Mus musculus: one gene and its partners. The protein of the gene in region 1 binds, or shares a complex with, the protein of each later gene. Links are inferred from orthologs where the notes say so. Each region holds a gene or a part of one and is shown in the gene's direction. Other genes may lie near its edges. The genes, in order: Mefv, Ripk3 and Aim2.

Evidence for each region.
Region 2: Mefv (region 1) and Ripk3 share a complex: the UniProt entries of both Homo sapiens proteins name them as parts of the AIM2 PANoptosome complex. The link is inferred for Mus musculus from reciprocal best matches to the Homo sapiens genes MEFV and RIPK3.
Region 3: Mefv (region 1) and Aim2 share a complex: the UniProt entries of both Homo sapiens proteins name them as parts of the AIM2 PANoptosome complex. The link is inferred for Mus musculus from reciprocal best matches to the Homo sapiens genes MEFV and AIM2.

What each region holds. Positions count from the first base shown.
Region 1 is NC_000082.6:3,715,349-3,719,098, reverse strand, and holds the start of Mefv (pyrin), read left to right. Parts: upstream 1-974; 5' UTR 975-1,036; coding exon 1,037-1,313; intron 1,314-2,970; coding exon 2,971-3,750. UniProt on the Homo sapiens protein: Involved in the regulation of innate immunity and the inflammatory response in response to IFNG/IFN-gamma.
Region 2 is NC_000080.6:55,786,063-55,789,812, reverse strand, and holds the start of Ripk3 (receptor-interacting serine/threonine-protein kinase 3), read left to right. Parts: upstream 1-955; 5' UTR 956-1,176; coding exon 1,177-1,196; intron 1,197-1,350; exon of another isoform or gene 1,351-1,431; coding exon 1,432-1,575; intron 1,576-1,679; coding exon 1,680-1,989; intron 1,990-2,373; coding exon 2,374-2,531; intron 2,532-2,652; coding exon 2,653-2,699; intron 2,700-2,796; exon of another isoform or gene 2,797-2,888; coding exon 2,889-3,056; exon of another isoform or gene 3,057-3,162; coding exon 3,163-3,230; intron 3,231-3,454; coding exon 3,455-3,750. UniProt on the Homo sapiens protein: Serine/threonine-protein kinase that activates necroptosis and apoptosis, two parallel forms of cell death. Necroptosis, a programmed cell death process in response to death-inducing TNF-alpha family members, is triggered by RIPK3 following activation by ZBP1.
Region 3 is NC_000067.6:173,462,009-173,465,658, forward strand, and holds part of Aim2 (interferon-inducible protein AIM2), read left to right. Parts: coding exon 1-312; intron 313-747; coding exon of another isoform or gene 748-855; exon of another isoform or gene 856-1,844; intron 1,845-1,850; coding exon 1,851-2,039; intron 2,040-2,962; coding exon 2,963-3,010; 3' UTR 3,011-3,650. UniProt on the Homo sapiens protein: Sensor component of the AIM2 inflammasome, which mediates inflammasome activation in response to the presence of double-stranded DNA (dsDNA) in the cytosol, leading to subsequent pyroptosis.

The sequences.
Region 1 (3,750 bases):
TGCCTCTGTCTCTCAAGTGCTGGTTGTAAAGGTGTGTGCCTCCAGCACCACCTGGATTCAGTCACATTTATTGTACATGCCAAAGTCACCTGCTTAGGATGGTATCACCCCCAGTGGGCTTGGCACTCCTCTATTGGATATCAATCAGGAAAAAGCCCCACATACATGCCTACAGGCCATTCTGATGGAGGCATTTTTTCAATTGAGGTTCCCTCTTCCCAAGCATGTCAGATTGACAATCAATGTCAGCCTTCACAGATATCTAGGGTATTTAGAATGATAGATAATAATGCTTTTTATTTATTCTCCAATGGTTAAGACAAAAGTAAAGGAGGCCACAGAAAATTTAACCCAGAAGCAGTTAGTGGACCTAGGAAGCCAGGGCCAAGTTGGCTGTGGGAATAGATGCATGAGAATGCTGGCAACAAAGGTGGTCCGCAGGTCCCGTGTGAACACTTTACGTTGCTGGATAGACTAGACATGGACCAGACAGACTGGACATGCATTGCAGTACCTTTCTGGCTTCTGCTTTCTTGAGAAGGCCCAGGCAAAGCCTATAGGGATTATTTGCTGTTTGTTCCTTCCCCTGCCATTGGCCCTGGAGGTCTATAAACCTCAAGAGTCCAAAGAGAGCAGTTGGCCAGAGGGGACCAACTCCACGTAAGATCATCTCCCTCTTCCACAGCCTAGGGTCCTGAGAGCAAGCAAGAGCTCAGGAGCAGCTGGAAGGTCTGGCTGTCAATCCCAGAGCTACCCTTAGAGTCTGGCCTGCCTGTTGTTTAATCAGGACATAGGCTGGCAAGGTGGAGACCTCCCCACTGGAAAAGACTCTGAATCCTCAAAGAAAGTATGCAGCAGGCTAGACCCTGGACACGCCCTCATTTTTACTCTCAGTTCCCACCAAAGCTGATGTGCTTCCTGCGCCTTGTCCGTTATTTCACAAGCTATTTCTTGCTTGTTCTCAAGTTGCACGAGAGAGGTCATTATCGTTTGCCAGAAGCCACATAGCTGGCTGCAGTCCCTCCTGGCCCGCACCATGGCCAAGACCCTTGGTGATCATCTGCTAAACACCCTGGAGGAGCTGCTGCCCTATGACTTTGAGAAGTTCAAGTTTAAGCTACAGAACACCAGCCTGGAGAAGGGCCACTCTAAGATCCCCCGGGGCCATATGCAGATGGCCAGGCCAGTAAAGCTGGCCAGCCTTCTGATAACCTACTACGGGGAGGAGTATGCTGTAAGGCTGACCCTGCAGATCCTGCGGGCCACCAACCAGCGCCAACTAGCAGAGGAGCTTCGCAAAGCCACAGGCACAGGTAAGTTGCCAAGCCTCTTCCCAGTGGGGATGGATGCTAGCTACTGGTGGTGGATGAGAGGAATGCTCAGACACTAGCTAAGGGTTAGAAAGCCCCTGTCCACTTCAGTCCGAGTAGTGTGAATCTAGCATGCCTCATCCTTCTCTCTGGCCCTTGTAACCTGTTTAGTGAAGCTCCCAGGCTCCCCCCCCACCCCCCAAGACATTAATAATAAAAACTGATATTTCAGCTGTGGGTGAGACTCAGGACAGGTGGATCATGAATGGAGCAAAACCTAGAGAAGTCTTTACTCCATGTTTTCAAGTAATAAGCAAGCCCAGACTATCATCAGGTTAGCAGAAAAGGCTTGAAATTCAACCATACTCACATGTCTGAGAATCTCATTAACCACCCAATTTCAATTGGAGTTCTTCCTTGGGATACTTTACAAGGGTATTTAAACATTCTTTGCTTTTAATGAAAGGTTTCTTCAAATGAAAACCTAAGTTGTTAATCATGGGTTATCTTCATTATGTAGACTTTGAAATTAAACCTTATCTGTCAATATCCTGAAATTGCAGGCAAGTTTGCTTGCTGTTTTTGTTTTTGTTATTTTTTTGGCTTTGATTTCTAGACAGGGCCTCACTATATAGACTACACTTGCTTCAAACTCTAGAGATGCTCCTGCCTCTGTGTCTGAGGTTAGAAACTACACCACCATACCTGTTCCAACGAGTTTCCTTTCTTTTTAAAAATTAATTAATTCATTTAAAGATTTATTTATTTATTTTATGTATATGAGTACAGCATTGCTCTCTTCAGACACACCAGAAGACGGCATCAGATCTCATTACAGATGGTTGTGGGTCACCAACCATGTGGTTGCTGAGAATTGAACTCAGCACCTCTGGAAGAGCAGTCAGTGCTCCATCTCTCCAGTTCCCTCAACTTGTTTTCAAACACCATCTACGTTTACATTTATGACTTGAGGTTTTCTTCAGTTTGTGCCATGATTGAAAATGATTCATTTCTATATGTTCCTTTTTAAATTAAATTTATGTGTGTGGGTGTTTTGTCTGGATATGTGTGTGTACCACTTGCAATCTTGATGTCCACAAAAGCCAGAAGAGGGAATCAGATTCCCTGGATTTGGAGTTACAGATGGTTGTGAGCTACTGTGTGGATTCTGGGAACTGAATCTGGGGGCTGTAGAAGAGCACCCCAATGCTTTGAACTGCTGAGCCACCTCTCTGTCTCTCCAGGCTCCTATTTTAATTTTACTTTGCTTATGTATTTTGTGTCTGTCTGCATATGTAAGTGAGTGTTAGTGTGCTCTGGCATAAAGGTCAGAGGACAACTTGAAGGAATTGATTCGTTCCTCTGTGGTTCTGGAGGCTGAGCTTGTTGGCAAGTGCCTTTACTTACTGAGCTGGTTGCTTTCATCCCTTCCTATTTGCTTTGCTTTATAAGTCAAATGTCACAGGTACAGTCATGCATGCATCTATAACAGTAACCCAGTTTTTATTTACTATGTATTTTATGGTTCTGTGTAATGGACATCTGTTGTCTAGAATGTTCAGTTCTTTGCTTTTATTAACTTCTAAGGAGTTTCTCCCTTCCTCCAACCCCAGCCTTGAATATAGCACAGCTTCATGACTGTATCTTATTGTCTTTCTAGAACATTTAATTGAAGAAAATAGAGTTGGTGGTTCTGTCCAGTCTTCTGTAGAGAATAAAGCCAAGAGTGTGAAGGTACCAGATGTCCCTGAAGGTGATGGGACACAGCAAAACAATGATGAATCAGACACCCTTCCATCCAGCCAGGCTGAAGTGGGGAAGGGACCCCAGAAGAAGTCACTGACCAAAAGGAAGGATCAGAGGGGCCCCGAGAGCCTGGACTCACAGACCAAGCCATGGACAAGGAGCACAGCGCCTCTCTATAGGAGAACCCAGGGCACCCAGTCCCCAGGGGATAAGGAGAGCACAGCAAGTGCCCAGCTCCGCAGGAATGTCAGCTCTGCAGGGAGGCTTCAAGGACTTTACAACAATGCCCCAGGGAGGAGAGAAAGCAAGAAAGCCGAAGTGTATGTATATTTGCCTTCAGGAAAGAAGCGACCCAGGAGTCTTGAAATTACCACTTATTCAAGAGAAGGAGAACCCCCAAATTCAGAAGTTCTTCCAACTCAAGAGGAAACAAGAAATGGGAGTCTCATTCGCATGAGAACAGCTACTCTGAATGGAAGGACTACGGGGGCTTTAGAAAAGGGCACAGGGATTCCAGAGCATTCCATGGTGCTGGATGAAAAAACATTCAGAAACATGTCTTCCAAAACATCGTTGATTGGGGAGGAGAGATGCCCTACATCATGGACGGAAAATGGAAATGGGAGTCCAGAAACCACAGAGTCCTCGGGAGAGACGGCTGGCAGCATACTCTCTGATCCAGAAGTGCCTTTGT
Region 2 (3,750 bases), on another chromosome or scaffold:
AGTAGGCAAAATTCTTGTCATGCAAGCATGAGGACCTGAACTCATATTCCCACAACTAAAGTGACATTGGGGACAGTAGCCCATGTATACCATGCCAGTGTTCCTACAGCAAGATGAGAGACAGGAGAATACTGGGACATTAACAGGCTAACACATAGCATTATGCACACAGCAGAGAACAAACTGACCCTATCTCAAACAAGGTCGAACACCTACACACACACACACACACACACACACACACACACACCATGACATGCACCCCTTCACCACATGCATGGTCATGCACACACATAAATAAATTTTAAGATAAATAAGAAAGCCAAGCATGGTGGCGTACACCTTTAATCCCAGCATTTAGTCAGGAGGCAGATGCAGATGGCTCTCTGTGAGTTTGAGTCAACCTGGTCTGTATACTCGAGTCCCAGATCAACCAGGGCTCCAAAAAGAGACCCTGTCTCAAAAGTAAGTAAGTAAGTAAGTAAGTAAGTAAGTAAGTAAATAAATAAATAAATAAATAAATAAAATAAGGGCTACCTTGGTGGAGCAGAACTCGGTTCTAAACTAGTCCCATACTTACTTGGCCAAGCGATTTAAACTTTAAGTACTTGGGTTTCCTCCTCTATAGAAAAGAAAACACGGTTGATCTAAGAAGCCAGTATGTGTACCTGGCCCAAGACAACCCTTACTAGAAGCGTTACTCCGTGATCTTAGGACCATAAAATCCTCCTGATCTCCATCCTCCCTTCATCAAAATGTGGTTGGCAAGCGGTGGAGCTAAGGGGTCCAAGAGAGACTGGCTATCGTGGGGAGTCAATCGTTCCTGGATGGTGAGGACACCTTTTGTGGCACGCCCAGTGCCTGGGCGCTTCTCGGGTGGAAGCAGTTTCAAGGCACGTGCACAGGAAATAGCCCCAAAGTTTTCAATGCTCCACCCCAGGGGGCGGAGATAGAAGGAGCCTCTTATTTGAAAGGGAAGTTGTGAAGTCGCTCATTCAAAGTCCGGGGGAGCGACCTGGGAAGCGGAATTCGGGGCCTGAACCTCCGTGCCTTGACCTACTGATTGTTCCCTTTGCAGACCCTGCCTTCCTCTCAGTCCACACTCCGAGCCGTAGACGTCGGGTTTCCAGCTCCGTCTGTGCACACATAACTCCAGGAAGCCGCTAGCTCCCGACGATGTCTTCTGTCAAGTTATGGTGAGTGGGGAGTGAGCTGTGTCTCCGGCACACCCACACAGGTGGCCCGGGGACACACTCAAAGGACGCCTTTTCTGAGGCAGGGGACAAAGCTGGGGGTGAGGCGGGCAGCAGTGGGGAGGCTAGACTCGCTGCCTACGCTGCCCACGCGCAGTCACGGAATCCCGGAGCTTGGGAGACAGAGGATGCGCTAGGCTGGGGGATGGGCCCCCTACCGGACAAGAACCTTTCTCAGGCCTACTGGTGCGTCAGCGGTTCCTCTGGTGAGCCGTGAAGAACTGAAGAAGCTGGAGTTTGTGGGTAAAGGAGGGTTCGGAGTCGTGTTCCGGGCACACCACAGAACATGGAACCATGATGTAGCAGTCAAGATCGTGAACTCGTGAGTGACCCCAGCTGTAGTCAGAGTGTGGTCACGAGCCTGAGTGGGGCAAGGGTGGGGTCTTCCAGAGCGCAATCCAATTTTGGCCCCCTTTCGGCGTGTAGGAAGAAGATATCCTGGGAGGTGAAGGCTATGGTTAATCTTCGTAATGAGAACGTTCTGCTCCTGCTGGGGGTCACTGAGGACCTCCAGTGGGACTTCGTGTCCGGGCAGGCTCTGGTGACAAGATTCATGGAGAATGGCTCCCTCGCAGGGCTGCTGCAACCCGAGTGCCCTCGGCCCTGGCCACTCCTCTGTCGCCTGCTGCAGGAAGTGGTGCTGGGGATGTGCTACCTACACAGCTTGAACCCTCCGCTCCTGCACCGGGACCTCAAGCCCTCTAACATTCTGCTGGATCCAGAGCTCCACGCCAAGGTTAGTCCATCTACAACCTAGTGTAGACTTGGGACCATGTTGAGTACCTGTCCCTCTGAATACAAGACTACACACATGACAAGACCCAACTAGGAGTTTTATTTCTAGTCATACCAGGTGACCCTCCTTACCAGACGCCCTTCTTAACCCCCTGGCTCAGTTCCACAGGCCTAATGCACCCTCACGGACCCAGGCTGACTTATCTCAGGCCTGCCCATCAGCAACTCAGATCTCCTGCTAAGTTCTCAATGACTTTACCTTCCCTCTGGTCCTCCATAACACCTTCCAAAAAGCTGAGGCTGCTGCATCTTCTGGGGAGCAAGAGAGGGAAAAATCTCTGACCCCCCCCTTCATCTAATACCTTCCCTTTCCTTTCCTTTACAGCTAGCAGATTTTGGCCTGTCCACGTTTCAGGGAGGGTCCCAGTCAGGGTCAGGATCAGGATCAGGATCCAGGGACTCTGGGGGCACCCTAGCGTACTTGGACCCAGAGCTGTTATTTGATGTCAACCTGAAGGCTTCTAAAGCGAGTGATGTCTACAGGTAAACCATCCACCCCAAACACACTCCAAATCTCTATACCAATTTGGGCCCTTCTAAAGGGAATGATACAGGAAAGAAGTCTCGCCAGAGGCCATCTAAGCCTCCATTTGTGTCTGTACAGCTTTGGGATCCTCGTGTGGGCAGTGCTGGCTGGCAGAGAAGCTGAGTGTAAGACTCCAAATGGAGTACCCGAAAGCACCTAAACCCCCCTGGAGCCCTCCCTTTTACCCTGACCCACTAACACACTGCCCTCTTCCCACCTCACCTCTCACTTGGATGACTCTCCCTGCTCCTGTCCGCGATAGAATGGGCTGTCCCCTCATTTCATGAATTCCTTATGTTATCCCCCAACTCCAGTGGTAGACAAGACTTCACTAATCCGGGAAACAGTGTGTGACAGGCAGAGTCGTCCTCCACTGACAGAGCTGCCTCCAGGTAGCCCTGAGACTCCCGGCTTGGAAAAACTGAAGGAGTTAATGATTCATTGCTGGGGTTCCCAGTCCGAAAACAGGCCATCCTTCCAGGGTGAGTTGGCCGTATCTCTGGCAACTAGGGTAGGCTTGGGTCTTCAGCAGGGAGCTCCTCCAAGGAAAGAAATCCGACTCATATACAACTCGCTGTTGTCTTTCAGACTGCGAACCAAAAACCAATGAAGTTTACAATCTGGTAAAGGACAAGGTAGATGCTGCTGTCTCCGAGGTGAGTTTCTAGCACTGCCTTCCCATCCAGGAACTGTTGGGAGATGGCACAAGTGGCTCCCTTAACCATTCAGTTTATCTTCACTGGCCACCATTATTTAATCCTTGGTTGTCATTCCCATTCACCAGAACCTACTCCTTAGTCTCCAGAGACCAAGAAAATTTTCACTGGGGTTTACTTTGGCTGCCCCAGCTCCTGACAACAAGGTCCCCCTGTCTGCACAGGTAAAGCATTATCTGTCTCAGCACAGAAGCAGCGGCAGAAACTTGTCTGCCAGAGAGCCAAGCCAAAGAGGCACAGAAATGGATTGCCCGAGGGAAACCATGGTTTCTAAAATGCTGGACCGCCTGCATTTGGAGGAACCCTCCGGACCAGTTCCTGGAAAATGTCCTGAGAGGCAAGCACAGGACACATCAGTTGGGCCTGCCACACCAGCAAGGACATCTTCTGACCCCGTGGCTGGCACTCCTCAGATTCCACATACTTTACCCTTCAGAGGCACAACACCTGGGCCAGTCTT
Region 3 (3,650 bases), on another chromosome or scaffold:
TGTGAGACTCAGGAAGGAAGACAAGAGATATTTCATGCAACAGTGGCCACGGAGACAGATTTTTTCTTTGTAAAAGTTTTAAACGCACAGTTTAAAGATAAATTTATCCCAAAGAGGACAATTAAAATATCAAACTACCTTTGGCACAGTAACTTCATGGAGGTCACCAGTTCCTCAGTTGTGGTTGATGTTGAATCTAACCACGAAGTCCCAAATAACGTTGTTAAGAGAGCCAGGGAAACTCCCAGGATTAGTAAACTGAAGATTCAGCCATGTGGAACAATTGTGAATGGGCTGTTTAAAGTCCAGAAGGTAAGTTCCTATACGCAATTTTATATTGATCAGTAAGAATAATATAAAATATAACACCTATTCTAAGCCTTAATGGGACTTTAGAAAATACATTTCAATGTTTTTTACTCTATTAAATCTGAAACAATTAAAATAAATTTAAAAATTGATTTTAAATCATTTTAACAATTAAAAAAGAATTTTACAGAGTTCAGGATTTGTAGGATGATAATTTACCAAGACAAAGCTCACCAAGTTTTATTTTGTATTTTTGATTGTTTTGCTGTTTGAGACAGGGTCTTACTGTGTGGCTTTGTCTTATGTGGCATGCACTGATATTCGCTGCCCCTACCTCTTGAGTGCTGGGATCCAAGTGCATGTCACCACACACAGCGAAGGAAGGTTTGATTTTGAAACTCTGATTTTGAAATTTCTTTTTTTTTTTCCGCCTTGTAGCTTCTGAAGCATAGACACAGGCATCTTCACCTCTGTGTTGCTTTTATGCACTTAGATACTAGCCATATTCAAAGTCACTGTTGGGTTGAGCACTCTGCAGAGGACTGATGTACAGGTATGGTTTGAAGACAGAGAGAGAGAGAGAGAGACAGAGGAGAGGGAGAGAGAGAGAGAGAGAGAGCCTGACTTGAGCTTCTAAAACATCAAGGCCCACCCCCAATGACATTTCCTCCAACAAAGCCACTCCTACTTCAACAAGAGGCCACATATCTTAATCCTTTTGCATACTGCCACTCCCTGTGATCCTGTGGGGACCATTTTCATTCAAACCAGAAATCAGGTTAAAAAAAAATATATATTAGTCTTGTACGAACAGTTTTCTGGCCTAAGAGCGACCCTGAAGAACCACAGGAAACGTGTTGATTTCTGAACTTGTAGCCAGGATGGCCTCTCTCGTCTTTTCAGAAAGGAGGCAGGAGGGAAATGTCTTCCTTGGAAAATTAAAGCATAAAAAACACTCATCCCCTCTCAGTTCTGAGCCTTCCGTTTGATCAATTACCCACTAATGTTTTCTCATTTAGTGAATAAAACTAACATTGAAATATTGATATTTTACATCCCTGACTAGAATCTGGTCTCCTTCTAATCTGGACTTGACTGTGAATGATATTTCATTCATGGTTGACTTTTTACTTTTAAATTTCTTCACTAGGTCTTTTATTTTTGGTTCATGGGTTTCTGTTACTTGTTTCCTTAAGTGACTCTCCTCCTAACCAGGAGGTGCTCCTTTCCCATGACTGCCCCCTGCATGCTGGCCCTGGAGAAGCCCCACCTTCCCTGTCTACCCGTTGTTTCTGTGAGTTATTCTGGCCTCCCAAAAGAAAAAAACCTTGGGACTAGGAAGATGGACACAAGAGGCAACATGCTTTTAATATAATCCTCCTACCCCTTCCACTGAGATTTGCTAGAATCTGTTGGGTAGAAGTTTGGAATTATTTATTATATTATTTTGGAAAGCTGCTCCTAGCTTGTCTGATAACTGATTGATATGCTGCTCTTTCTTAGTCATCTAGCAGGACTTGACTCATATTTTCCTTTCACAGATAACAGAGGAAAAAGATAGAGTACTGTATGGTATACATGATAAAACAGGGACAATGGAGGTGTTGGTGCTGGGAAACCCAAGCAAAACAAAGTGCGAGGAAGGAGACAAGATTAGACTCACGTTCTTTGAGGTGTCAAAAAATGGAGTGAAAATTCAGTTGAAATCTGGACCTTGTAGCTTTTTTAAGGTATGGAAATTCTCAGAAGAGGATGTTGTTTTGTGTTTTCTATTGGAAATCCAATGAACAGGATGGCAGAGAAGAGCTTAATATGTATGCCTTTGCATCTCACAGACCTGAGAAGCCTGTCATTCAAAAATACATAACCCAGATACACAATTCAAAGCTGTGGATTTCCCAAGGAAAACACACATATGCGTGTGCATGTACACACACATACACATACACACACACACATACACACACACACACACAAACACATACACACATGCACACACAAAATCTCACTCTCCTTCTTTTCTTCTTCTTCTTCTTCTTCTTCTTCTTCTTCTTCTTCTTCTTCTTCTTCTTCTTCTTCTTCTTCTTCTTCTTCTTCTTCTTCTTCTTCTTCTTCTTCTTCTTCTTCCTTCTCCTCCTCCTCCTCCTCTCAAAGAACTTTCCACAATGAATTTATTGAATACAGTCTAAATCTAATGAAGGCAGCTTTCTCAAAGTTGCACACATCATTCTGGCAAATGCAGTTAAAAGTCAAGTCAGACTATAACACCCTGACAACAAACATCTGAGCCAGGGCAATCATCTTCACATCTGTCATAGTCCAAAGCAGTTAAGTCAGCTATCACATCCCCGTGCTGATGATCCCACTGATTCTGCTTTCCTCTCTTCCTCACCACTCAACTGTATATATAGAGTTATTAGATGGGGACCTGAGAAGTCTTCATATTTGTCCTTCTTGTGTAGGAGTGTGTGTGTGTTCAGGGCAGATATAGTTCAGGAGAGTTGTCCAAGAGTGACAGAATTAAGAGGAAATATGTGTTAGGTGAGGAGATTTGATGAGAAGAAAGGAATTTTCAGGAGAACACAGTAAGTGAAAGTAGAGGAGAATTAATTAATCAACAATATTTCAGTCTTCATCTTCCTTTCCTACCCAGGTTATTAAGGCTGCAAAGCCAAAAACTGACATGAAAAGTGTGGAGTGAAGTCACCTCATTTGAAAAACCTTTTCCTGAAGAATCCTGATGCTGCTCCTTGAACTAGACTGAACTACCTGAGGATAGCATTTTACAACCTCATCATCATATTGTATTACTTAGAAAAGGACAAATACTCAAAAAACATCTGAAAAATATATGTAAACTTATTATTAATTAAGTTATTAAGACTGCCCAACCTGGGGATCCATCCTATATACAACCACCAAACCCAGACACTATTGCATATGCCAGCAAGATTTTGCTGACAGGATCCTGATATAGCTCTCTCTTGTGAGGCTCTGCCAGTGACTGACAAGTACAGAAGCAGATGCTCACAGTCATCTATTGGATGGAACACAGGGCCCCTAATAAAGGAGCTAGAGAAAGTACCCAAGCAGCAAGTGGTCTGCAACGCTATAGGAGGAACAACAACATGAACTAACCAGTACCCCCCAGAACTGTGTCTCCAGTTGCATATGTAGCAGAAGATGGCCTGGCCGGTCATCAATGGGAGGAGAGGCCCTTGGTCTTGCAAAGATCATATGCCCCAGTACAGGGGAATGCCAGGGCCAGGCAGCAGGAGTGGATGTGGGTGGGTTGGGGAGTGTGTGTGGGGGGTGTTATAGGGGACTTTCGGGATAGCATT